2 linked regions of the Arabidopsis thaliana genome follow. The protein of the gene in region 1 interacts with the protein of each later gene in a pairwise test. Each region holds a gene or a part of one and is shown on either strand. Other genes may lie near its edges. The genes, in order: NYE1 and PAO1.

Region 1 (4,581 bases):
TCACGATCTTTGGGTTTCCATCAAGATGCACAACATTTTCCCCCAAAATTTTCCAAAGTGTATATCTTTATTCAATTTTTCTTCATATATCAAAATATAGTTTCTTTTGTATTTATTTACTTACGAACACAACATTTTATAAAATAAGCCCATGATAATAATGCAATAATTCGTTACCATTCTCTTATATTACTTGTTCTTCTTCTCTTTCTGTATTTGGTGTATTTGGTCGTAAATTAGATAGACGAATGGGGTCAGAGAAAAAAAGTCATCTTGATTTGGTTATAAAATGAAAAAGATATTGAAGAAAGAGACCAAATAAATCCAAGAAAATAATTTGGAATCATTAGGAGCAAGAAGTGGCTGATACGCTTTGCAAAACCACCAGAGAGACAAAGTCTTTTGCCATCTCTTTACCTTCACGTTTCTCCTTAGTTTCTCACCGTTACACCGACGAATTCGGTCCTTAATATACGTCTATTGTTACTTTGGTGATGATTCTCATGAATATCTTCATATTTCTAAACTATTCTTATTTGGGATATTAGTATAACTTTAAATTGGTGATGATTCTCATGAATGTTTTGATATATTAAAATATATATGTTCATTAAACAACAATTTATTCATCTTTATGTTTGCATTGCAGTAGTACTATACCAGTCTGTCACCTTTAATATTAGCTAATCTGTAAGAAATTTACATTTTGATCTTGTGGATGAGATACAATACAAGTATACAACTATGATAAAGACTTCAGAGTAGACACAAAATACCATTTGAAACTTTAAAATCTGTATTTAACCTACAAATAATCATTATTTTCCTATACCACATTATGTACACCAAACCAAACCAATATTTAGATCCACCAAAAGGAAAGTCCTGCCATTTCCTTTTCACTTTGTACAAACTACCAAAAGAAAAACTTGTAATTTGATATTTAGTCACTAGAGTTTCTCCGGATTTGGAGTAGCAATTCCCTCAGTCTGAGTCCCAGAGTAACCATTTACACCTTCATTACTAAGACTATGAGACCATGGAATCGAGCTAACGGTTGGAAAACAACAACTACACTCGTCCGCACACCGAGCCTCGGGAAGAGTCTCAGTCTTGTGACCATCAGGCGAAACAGCTTCCCAAAGCGGACCCCAACACTCGACTTTGTTGAACTCATTGACATTAGAATGGAAATAGACCCAAACAAGAGCTTCTTGTAGCTCAGGATAGTTGTTCAACAAGTTCCCATCTCCATGCACAAAAGCCTTCAACACCTGTATATATCAAAACAATAAACATTTTGTTTTACATGAAACCAATAAAAAGTTTCTTATGAATTTGGGAACTTACCACAGGTAGTTCTTTGCAAAAGATGAAATATCGAAACTTTGCAAAGAGATCTAAAAGGAAATGGCCACCGCTTATGTGACAATGAACGTGAAGCGACATTTTCCCTTTCACTTTCTTCCATTCTGCCACAACTTCATCCCGGTATAGCCTATTTGCCCATCCTTGCAACTATAAAAAACATTTCTATACATATCAGCCTCTAAAGTGTTAAGAGATTCTGGTGAATATAGACACATACATAGGTTAAAACAATCATACATAAGCCTCTAATATTTGCTCCAAATAATCAAATACATAAACATTCTACTCCTATAAACAGAGCCATGTAGATATGTTAAGACCAGAGAGAGAGGTGTTTTTACCTGAGAGTTGTTTATGGATTGAGAAATAGCTAAGGTTAGTTTAGCTGTAATGTCACTGTGAGTGAGTGTGTAAGTCCTAGGGAGCGTTGAAGGATGCTTCTTCTCATCAACCCCTAAGAAGAGTACTTTCAATTTGGATGATTCGAAAATCGCCGGTCCAAACAACCTTGCAACCTGCACCGATCCCAAAAGTTTCAAGTTCCATCAATAAAGACAGAGGCATAGATATATCCATAACTGAGACACATAAAACAAAGATATGTCAAAATGATTAAGAGAACAAATCCTTACGGGAACAATCGATTGGTTCTTCTTCTTGGATCTTCTATTGTTGAAGAAGAGTGAGCTGCTGCTGCTACTGTTACTCCGTTTGTCTGAATAAGCTGGTTTCAGCTTCGTTGGTAACAACATAATCGCCGACAAACTACACATCTCTGCTCTCTTGAAACCCAAATCAAAAGCTTCAATATTTCAGAAATAACAACAGAACAAAACGCCACTAAATACAGAGAGACTCCTTTCACGAAGCTTGGATACAATTTTTTCACGCGAGTTCTTGCGTGTTCGTACACTGAAACCACAATCAAAAAGATTGTAACTTTAAGAAATAAATATATAAAAGACCCAAAATTTGAGCTTTTCCTTTGCTTGATGATTGCTTGAAGCTTTGGTTTTGAATTTTCCTTTTGAGATCTTCCAGGAATTTAGGGTTCTTTGTGATGCGTATTGAGTTGGTTCTTGTGTTTAAAAGGGATTGTTGCTTCACGTTTCACACTTCCGTGCCCAAATCTGAACACTCTTTTGGAATTTTTCTGAACACGAGAGAGTGCCACGTGTTCTCTAATCTTTGCATGAGCTTCCCCATGTGTCGTCATGGTGGGGCTAACAACTGGCTCTAACCGTCTTTTTGGATAACTTTAGCCATCTCGTTGCGACAAAGAGACACAGATTCGGCTCTAACCGAACCTAACTCACGTACTGTAGTTGTCAGTCGAACCTAAAGCAATACGGTTTAGTTTCGGTTCAATTTAATGTCATTCGACTCGATTACTCGGTTTAGTTATTAGACCTGTGAAACTCGAGAGGCTTCTTCGCTTGAATCGTCGTGAACAAGGACAACAAACGCAGGTATTGATGGAACCGGAGGAGTCAGAGAGTCCCATGTTGATCCATAAGGATGTTAAAAAGGGCTGAAATTTGTGATCAGGTCCAGGTCCATTAAAAATATCGGGCTAAAATTGGGCTGGCCTGTTACAGAGCTTTTATTTTTTTCTTCTTCTTTTACGTTAAGCGACGTCGTATCTTGTAAACAACAAAACACGAGTACTGTTTTTTCTTCTTCTTTCTCCTTCAATCTCTTCCTCAAATCACTCTTTTTGGGGTTCGTTTTGTTTGTGTTGTAAGCATCCCTGTTGTGCATTTCGTTTATCCAGGTTCGTATTGCTTACCTAAACAAGTTCAAGTTTTCGATTTTGGTTTCTAGGTGTTTACCAGTTTCGCCATTTTGTGGTTTATTGTTTGGATAATTTGATTTCTTTGGATTTTGCTGATACCCATTTGTGTGTATAGAAATTTGATTAATCTGGATACTAAATTTCGTTTGGAGAAACATTGAACCAAAGGAATGCGAAATCTTTTGATGATGATTGAATAGTTTTAGTGCCTGCTAATACTTTAGAACAGAGTCAATTTTTTAAGGTCATGTTATAGAATCTGAGTCTACTTGTCATTTGCTTTGGAACAGGTGAATTCTTGCAAAGCCTTGAGCAGCTTTCAGATGATAAAGACTTTGGTCTCTCCTTATAGTGTATGTACTCTACCTCCACCACTCTTTGAGTCTTATTCTTGTTTAGTTCAATCCACGTGATCCAGTTTTAATTTTATTTAATTCCTCCTATGCGTCTGTTAAAGTCAACTATTTTATTCTTTATGTAGGGATTTGGATCTCAGAAGTTGAAGTTTGACAGATCTTCTGAGAAAGTGAAGACGAGAGCAGTAAGAATGGAGCTCACAATCACTCAACCTGATGATTGGCATCTTCATCTCCGTGACGGTGATCTTCTTCATGCTGTTGTTCCCCACAGGTCTTATAAACATCCTGCAATCTTTCTTTTCTTTCCTTGCTTTACTTTGTTTTGCAGCCACTTTTTTGTTTGCTATTGGTGTTTCTTGTGGAACCATTGTTTGTTATGTATGAATTCCTCAATCACAATCTTGTGCTGGCGTTGATGCTTGTGCTGTACATGATGGTTAATGGTGTATGTAATTATGTGCAGTGCGAGTAATTTTAAGAGAGCGATTGTGATGCCGAATCTGAAGCCTCCTGTCACCTCCACTGCAGCTGCCATTATTTACCGGAAATTTATCATGAAAGCTTTGCCATCTGAGAGTAGCTTTGATCCACTTATGACACTTTATTTGACTGACAAAACTCTACCTGAAGAGATCAGGCTTGCAAGTAAGTACCTGTGCTTTCTCCATCTTGTTGCAAACTAATCAGATACATTTTCATCTTTCTGATTGAGATTCTACTTGCTAATGTTCAGTTTATGCATATATGATCTTGTTATTAGGGGAAAGTGGTGTGGTTTATGCGGTGAAGCTGTACCCTGCCGGAGCAACAACCAACTCTCAAGATGGTGTCACGGATCTCTTTGGAAAATGCTTACCGGTACTAGAAGAGATGGTCAAACAAAACATGCCTTTGCTGGTAAATAAATCATACACCACATAGACTTGTATTTTTGTCTTTGTCTTGTCTGAGGAATGTTTTGATTAGGTTCATGGGGAGGTCACAGATCCGAGTATCGATGTCTTTGACCGCGAGAAAATCTTCATTGAGACAGTTCTGCAGCCTCTAATCCAACGC
Region 2 (5,543 bases), on another chromosome or scaffold:
ATAAGACCGCTGATTTGCCTAAGGCCCATTTATGGTATTCTACAAAGGAGGTGATCCAAGCTCTCAAACTTTTCCTGGAAGCTGGGGATGATCTGTCAAGGAGCTTAACATATAGGTAGATGCAAGTAGAGATAGATTATCTACCATTTTAGTGGTTACAGATTCCTTTGGGTTTTGCTTGCAGGTATGACATGGTTGATTTGACGCGTCAAGTTTTATCGAAGCTAGCAAACCAGGTGTACACCGAAGCAGTGACAGCTTTTGTAAAGAAAGATATCGGAAGCTTAGGACAATTGAGTGAGAAGTTTCTGGAGCTTATAAAGGACATGGACGTTCTACTTGCTTCGGATGATAATTGCCTTCTGGGGACATGGCTGGAGAGTGCAAAGAAGTTGGCCAAAAACGGTGATGAAAGGAAACAGGTGTAACATCATTCTTGTTCTTGGAACGTGCGGGTAGAAGAAGTAGATTACTTGCTCACTTTGTTTCTCTGTGTACAGTACGAGTGGAACGCGAGAACGCAAGTGACAATGTGGTATGACTCGAACGATGTGAACCAAAGCAAGCTTCATGATTACGGTAAGATATAAACTTAAAAAAAAAGATTCTCGAGTGGATAGAGCTTTTTAAAAAACTGTTATGTTTTATGATCATCATCATCAGCAAACAAGTTCTGGAGTGGGTTACTTGAAGACTACTACTTACCCCGAGCGAGGTTGTATTTTAATGAAATGCTGAAAAGTTTAAGAGATAAGAAGATATTCAAGGTAGAGAAATGGCGAAGAGAATGGATAATGATGTCACACAAATGGCAACAAAGTTCATCAGAGGTCTATCCAGTTAAGGCAAAAGGAGACGCGTTAGCTATTTCAAGGCATCTGTTGAGTAAATACTTCCCATGAGTTTACTCAAGAGTAGCTCAAACGAATAAATAAAATAAACAAAAGGGTTGGGTTTCTACTTTCTAGCTTGTGCCTGAGATAAATTTAACATTTGTGTAAATTTGAGAGTTATTAGGCTTCTGATGTGTTAGTGTAAGAGACTCGGTGAAGGCCAATAAAGGTTGTAACAACAAACTCTGCTTCATCTCTTCCAACAAAGATTTACTTGTGTCAATACCTGCAAGGTATCCTCCATGTACATACCCACTGAACTTTTCACTTGTGTGTTCTCCTGTAAAGAATATCCGTCCAACTGGGGCCTGAATAAACATAAACCTCTTAAATTTCTGACAGACATGTGTATGTGTGTGCGTCTTAATAACAACAACAAAATGTGTTTACCTTGATATTTTGCAGAAGCTGATTATCAGATATCATAGGGTAATTACTGTAGCTACCGCGTTGAAACCGGTTGTTCCACCACCTGGGGACAAGAATATCGGTTGCGTAAGGAATGGTGGCCCCAAACATGTCCCTGAGAACACTCATTGCCTCTTTCATCGTCTCCTGGTCTGATTGAGCTTCAACGCGCTTTGATTGTTCGTTGGTCAACGTCACCACCAGAATGTTAGAGCCCGGGTACGCATTTTCCATGTGCTGTTACCAAAAGCACACATATAAGCTTGAGAGGAGAGCAAGCAAGTTGTAGTATGCATACACATTATTATATTATTGTGTGAATTCTATACTCTTACCCACATGGATCATGCCGCTAGTTAGAGACACTCAAGATAATATAAAAGCAATGATAGTGTTAAATCAAAGGGACCCCCAGGTGTTTAATTTTAAGATTAGAGAGTCAATATGTGCCACGTTTCGACCTTAAGTGGAACGACCAAAAAGATGCATCGACATTAACAAACAATTACAATCTCATTATTAAGGGAAATTTAACCTGCCAAAAGGTGAAATAGCCGCGTTGTTCGTGTGCATAAATGAAAAACTCTTGACCAGGACCACATGGCCAGAAACATTGAGGGAATTTCAGGAAGATCTTGGTGTACACCATCACATCACATTTTTGTATAGCTTCTGTTTTCCATCTCTGTCACCAAATATAAATTTTGGATAGTAAGCATAATAATGCATATAGACACCAAAATATTTGACTTGCTATCCTAATGGCTGATACAATTTAATATTTCCCTAGATTCATGCACATTGATTGATTAAACATCTACACCTTGTATCTTTTAAAATGTTAAATAAGCATAAAAGGTAAGACCAATGAGTAGTTGATCATAAATTATGATTATATGAGAAGAAGAAGAGAAAGTAAACTAACGGGTAAAAGGGGTTGGAAGGAGAGAAGATCAGATTGGAGAACACCGATACTCGCAGACACGATCACATAATTAGCTTCGTATACGGAACCATCCTCTGTCTTCACCACTACCCCATTCCTAGACTGTTGCACCTCCCTAACTACCTGCCATTAATTCCCACAACTTCATCACACTATTGCTCCTCCAATATAGATTACTAATATAACACACAGCTTTCAAAGTTAAGCCAGCTGGTTTATGAGAGAGGCAATAAATACAACACGCTCATTCATGCATACCCCACAATAATGCTTCCCAAGAAACTATCAACTTTCAATAGAAAACTGTTACTATACTAAACAAAAATATAGCTACAAGGACCCGGAATGTAATCAATTCCACTATACACCAAAGGCTGAGAGAACCTTAGCAGAAAAAAAGATAATGCAAATCAATCAACCTAATAGAGAGTGACAACAGCTAAAAAGCAAAAGTAGCTTTCCAAATAACGTCAATATATACTCTTTTAACTCAAAACCTAATCAATATCAGAGATCTTACTATACCTGGTTTAGTTTGAGGCGGTAGTCCAAGATATTTCCATGTGAGGTAACGAGAAATTCCTCAGCCATTTTATAAAGTAAACATTCGTAACCTCTTTCATCAGCAACCAAGAACTCTCTTTCACCAAAGTCTACATAAGTGGATATTGGCTCTACCTCTGAAATTAGTAGTATAAAGAATCAATCAACCAATCAATCTGCGACATTATTATCATGTGTGTTTCTCAAGAACTCACCAGCCATCTCAAAATCATGCAAGATAAAGTCAATGGCTAGTTCTATTGGCGTCTTCGGTGACCTAAACACCAAACCAAAACACATTAGAATCGAAGCAAAATAAAAAAACCAGTAAGCAAAACAGAGAGGATCAAAACGCACGAAGGAGCTTCTTCAGCTACTTGACCAGAACATTGAGCTTCAAGGCTCTTTAACTTGAGAATCGCCGAGTCAACCGCCTTTTTATACGAGTCAGAAGCGATTCCCGTCGGGAAGATTTTACCACTGCAAAATTCAATCAACGGAAAATAAATCTTTGATTCTTGAGGATTGAGTTACATTAATAATCAGGGGATCAGTTTTAACCTTCGATCGTAGATATTGAAACGAGCATTGGTGTAATCGGAAAAGCAAGTACGGAGGTTAAAACGCGAGGCAAGTTCCCAAACGGGATTAGACTCTTTACCACCGACACCGGCAATCCAACCGGCGCCAAGCTCCACCGGCACGTCACCGAAATTCTGTTTATGTATTCTTCCTCCGATCCGATCCGTCGCTTCCAGTATCAATACATCTTCTACTCCGTTCTCGACGAGAACCTTCGCCGCCGATATTCCTGAATTTCAAAACAAAATTCCGTTAGTTATTTTATAAAGAGCACGAGTGTTAATGGATGTTTTGATCCGAACCGGAGATTCCAGCGCCAATGATGATGACGGAGGCGGTAGACATTAGAGAGAGAGCGAAAGGTGTTTGTTAGTTTGTTGGTTGGGGCGAGAGGAGAAGGAGTTGGTTCGTTTTCGTTTCGTTTGGGGTTTATATATATAGAGAGAGAGAGAGGAAGGAGGAGGAATTCTACTTCTACTCGAACTTAAACACCTGAGAACGCGTGTATGTGACGCGCTTTGCGTACACGGTACCTGTGTCAGGGTTTTTGGCATCAAACAAGGCTAGTGACGATAATTGTTTTTCTCAGGTGTATATCTTATCAGGACGGGCCTGAATATTCTAAAGCCCAATAAAAGTTATGGCCCACTAAATGAAATTATTTTAAAGAAAATATTTCAAACAAGAGATTTGGTTGAGAGGTTTTTTTTTTTTTTTTATCGACTGGTTGAGAGGTTTTTGTACCCTCTAATACGTTTTGAGAAAACTATTGTCATTTATGCACTTTCTCATTAGGATGAGCTGCGAAGATGTTTTTTTACTCTTGTTCTGAATTATATGGAGCGACTAAGAAAATGCAAAAGAGATAGCAAGAAAAAACATTTCTTCTAAGTTGTTTTTATTCTGTTTACTTTTGACATTTTTTCCTCTGACTTGTCATAATTCAATCCACGATCAACAAATTAGTTTCTCCTTTATCAAAGACAGAGAATTGAATTCAAGAGAATTTTATAATCAGATCTATGGAGAGGTAGTGTTAAAAAACAAAACAAAAAACCATGGAGGAAAAACAAAGATTCTCCCTTATCATTAAAGGAGCGGACAAAGGAGGTGGTGTCAGCAAAATATCAGGAATCAGGAGGCCCCACTTTTGAATCTTGGCATAAAACGACAAAAGAAAAAGGTTTTTGAGATCTAAAGAGAAAGAAAGATTCCAAGATATTTTGGGCATGTGCACATGATTCAGATTTCAGGCAGAGTGCACATGAACAACACGTGACATGTTACGAACATCCAAAATATAGTTGGTGAATAAGAAACTCTGCAACAAATCCGATAAACATAGAAAATAAGACTGCAAATTGAGAAATTTTGTCACTTCATTCGACCTACGATGACCATCGCCATCTCTCATCCGCTTACTCTGGCTTCCGGGCCAAGAAGAAATACATTGGCGTGAAAATCTCTCTCCTGAGAAACATTTATCCAAGAAGAGATTTAGAATTCTACCCCAAAAAAGATAAATCTAAAGTGAATCTTGATGGTCTGAATAAATAAAAGTTGGGATCCTCTCACCTTCCACCGTCGACTAATCCTTCCGCAGCCTGCTCCAGGAAATTTGAGACCCTTTGGCTTCCTTGAGGTGCAAGTCTTATGTATTCAAGGATCTTGACCTACCACATAAATAACAATGACAAGTTCGGATAAATGAACTACTAATAGTTTATGGGATTTGGCAGATTAGTTAGAGCAAGTTTTTTACCATGTTTTTGGTTATGAATCGTCCAACAGCTGTAAGGCGGAAGCTACTGAGTGAGAAATGATTTTTGTCAAGAGGTAAGTACCATGGGACCGGCGAGTCCTTGGCCAGATCCTTTTCCCATATCACCTTCATCCAACGCAGAGGATAATAGTATTTAGATGTTGAAATGTTGATGTGTTTGGAAATACAGAGGATCCATAAAATCAGATACTTACTTCAAAACCGGCCTGCTTCAGAGCTTCGAGGCATTTTGTAGTCAGCCTAATGTCAGGAAGACCATCTCCAATCTCTATCTCTCCCTGAAAAATGGAGTCTTTGTTTGTATTCATGTTGATAATAAAAGCACAAATAAATAATATGGATAGATGCAAGGGACACACTAACCTTTATTTTCTGATGTTCGGCGTTA

What was found.
Region 2: the proteins of NYE1 (region 1) and PAO1 interact in a protein complementation assay, tested with the Arabidopsis thaliana proteins (one study listed by BioGRID).

The regions. Positions count from the first base shown.
Region 1 is NC_003075.7:12,015,826-12,020,406, forward strand, and holds NYE1 (non-yellowing 1), read right to left. Parts: upstream 2,819-4,581; 5' UTR 2,782-2,818; intron 2,710-2,781; 5' UTR 2,145-2,709; coding exon 2,004-2,144; intron 1,887-2,003; coding exon 1,713-1,886; intron 1,519-1,712; coding exon 1,351-1,518; intron 1,275-1,350; coding exon 951-1,274; 3' UTR 638-950; downstream 1-637. Other genes in the region: PYR4 (pyrimidin 4), read left to right, coding at 3,490-3,519, 3,648-3,796, 3,989-4,170, 4,286-4,422, 4,492-4,581. UniProt on the Arabidopsis thaliana protein: Magnesium chelatase involved in chlorophyll a degradation in the chlorophyll-protein complexes of photosystem I (PSI) and photosystem II (PSII). Contributes to the degradation of PSI and PSII in the thylakoid membranes.
Region 2 is NC_003076.8:4,419,258-4,424,800, forward strand, and holds PAO1 (polyamine oxidase 1), read right to left. Parts: upstream 3,839-5,543; 5' UTR 3,718-3,838; coding exon 3,675-3,717; intron 3,602-3,674; coding exon 3,352-3,601; intron 3,271-3,351; coding exon 3,148-3,270; intron 3,068-3,147; coding exon 3,006-3,067; intron 2,928-3,005; coding exon 2,773-2,927; intron 2,371-2,772; coding exon 2,227-2,370; intron 1,987-2,226; coding exon 1,837-1,986; intron 1,539-1,836; coding exon 1,284-1,538; intron 1,202-1,283; coding exon 965-1,201; 3' UTR 903-964; downstream 1-902. Other genes in the region: CYL1 (alpha-N-acetylglucosaminidase family / NAGLU family), read left to right, coding at 1-115, 185-422, 501-579, 664-902; SMT1 (sterol methyltransferase 1), read right to left, coding at 4,791-4,842, 4,948-5,045, 5,135-5,260, 5,350-5,433, 5,519-5,543.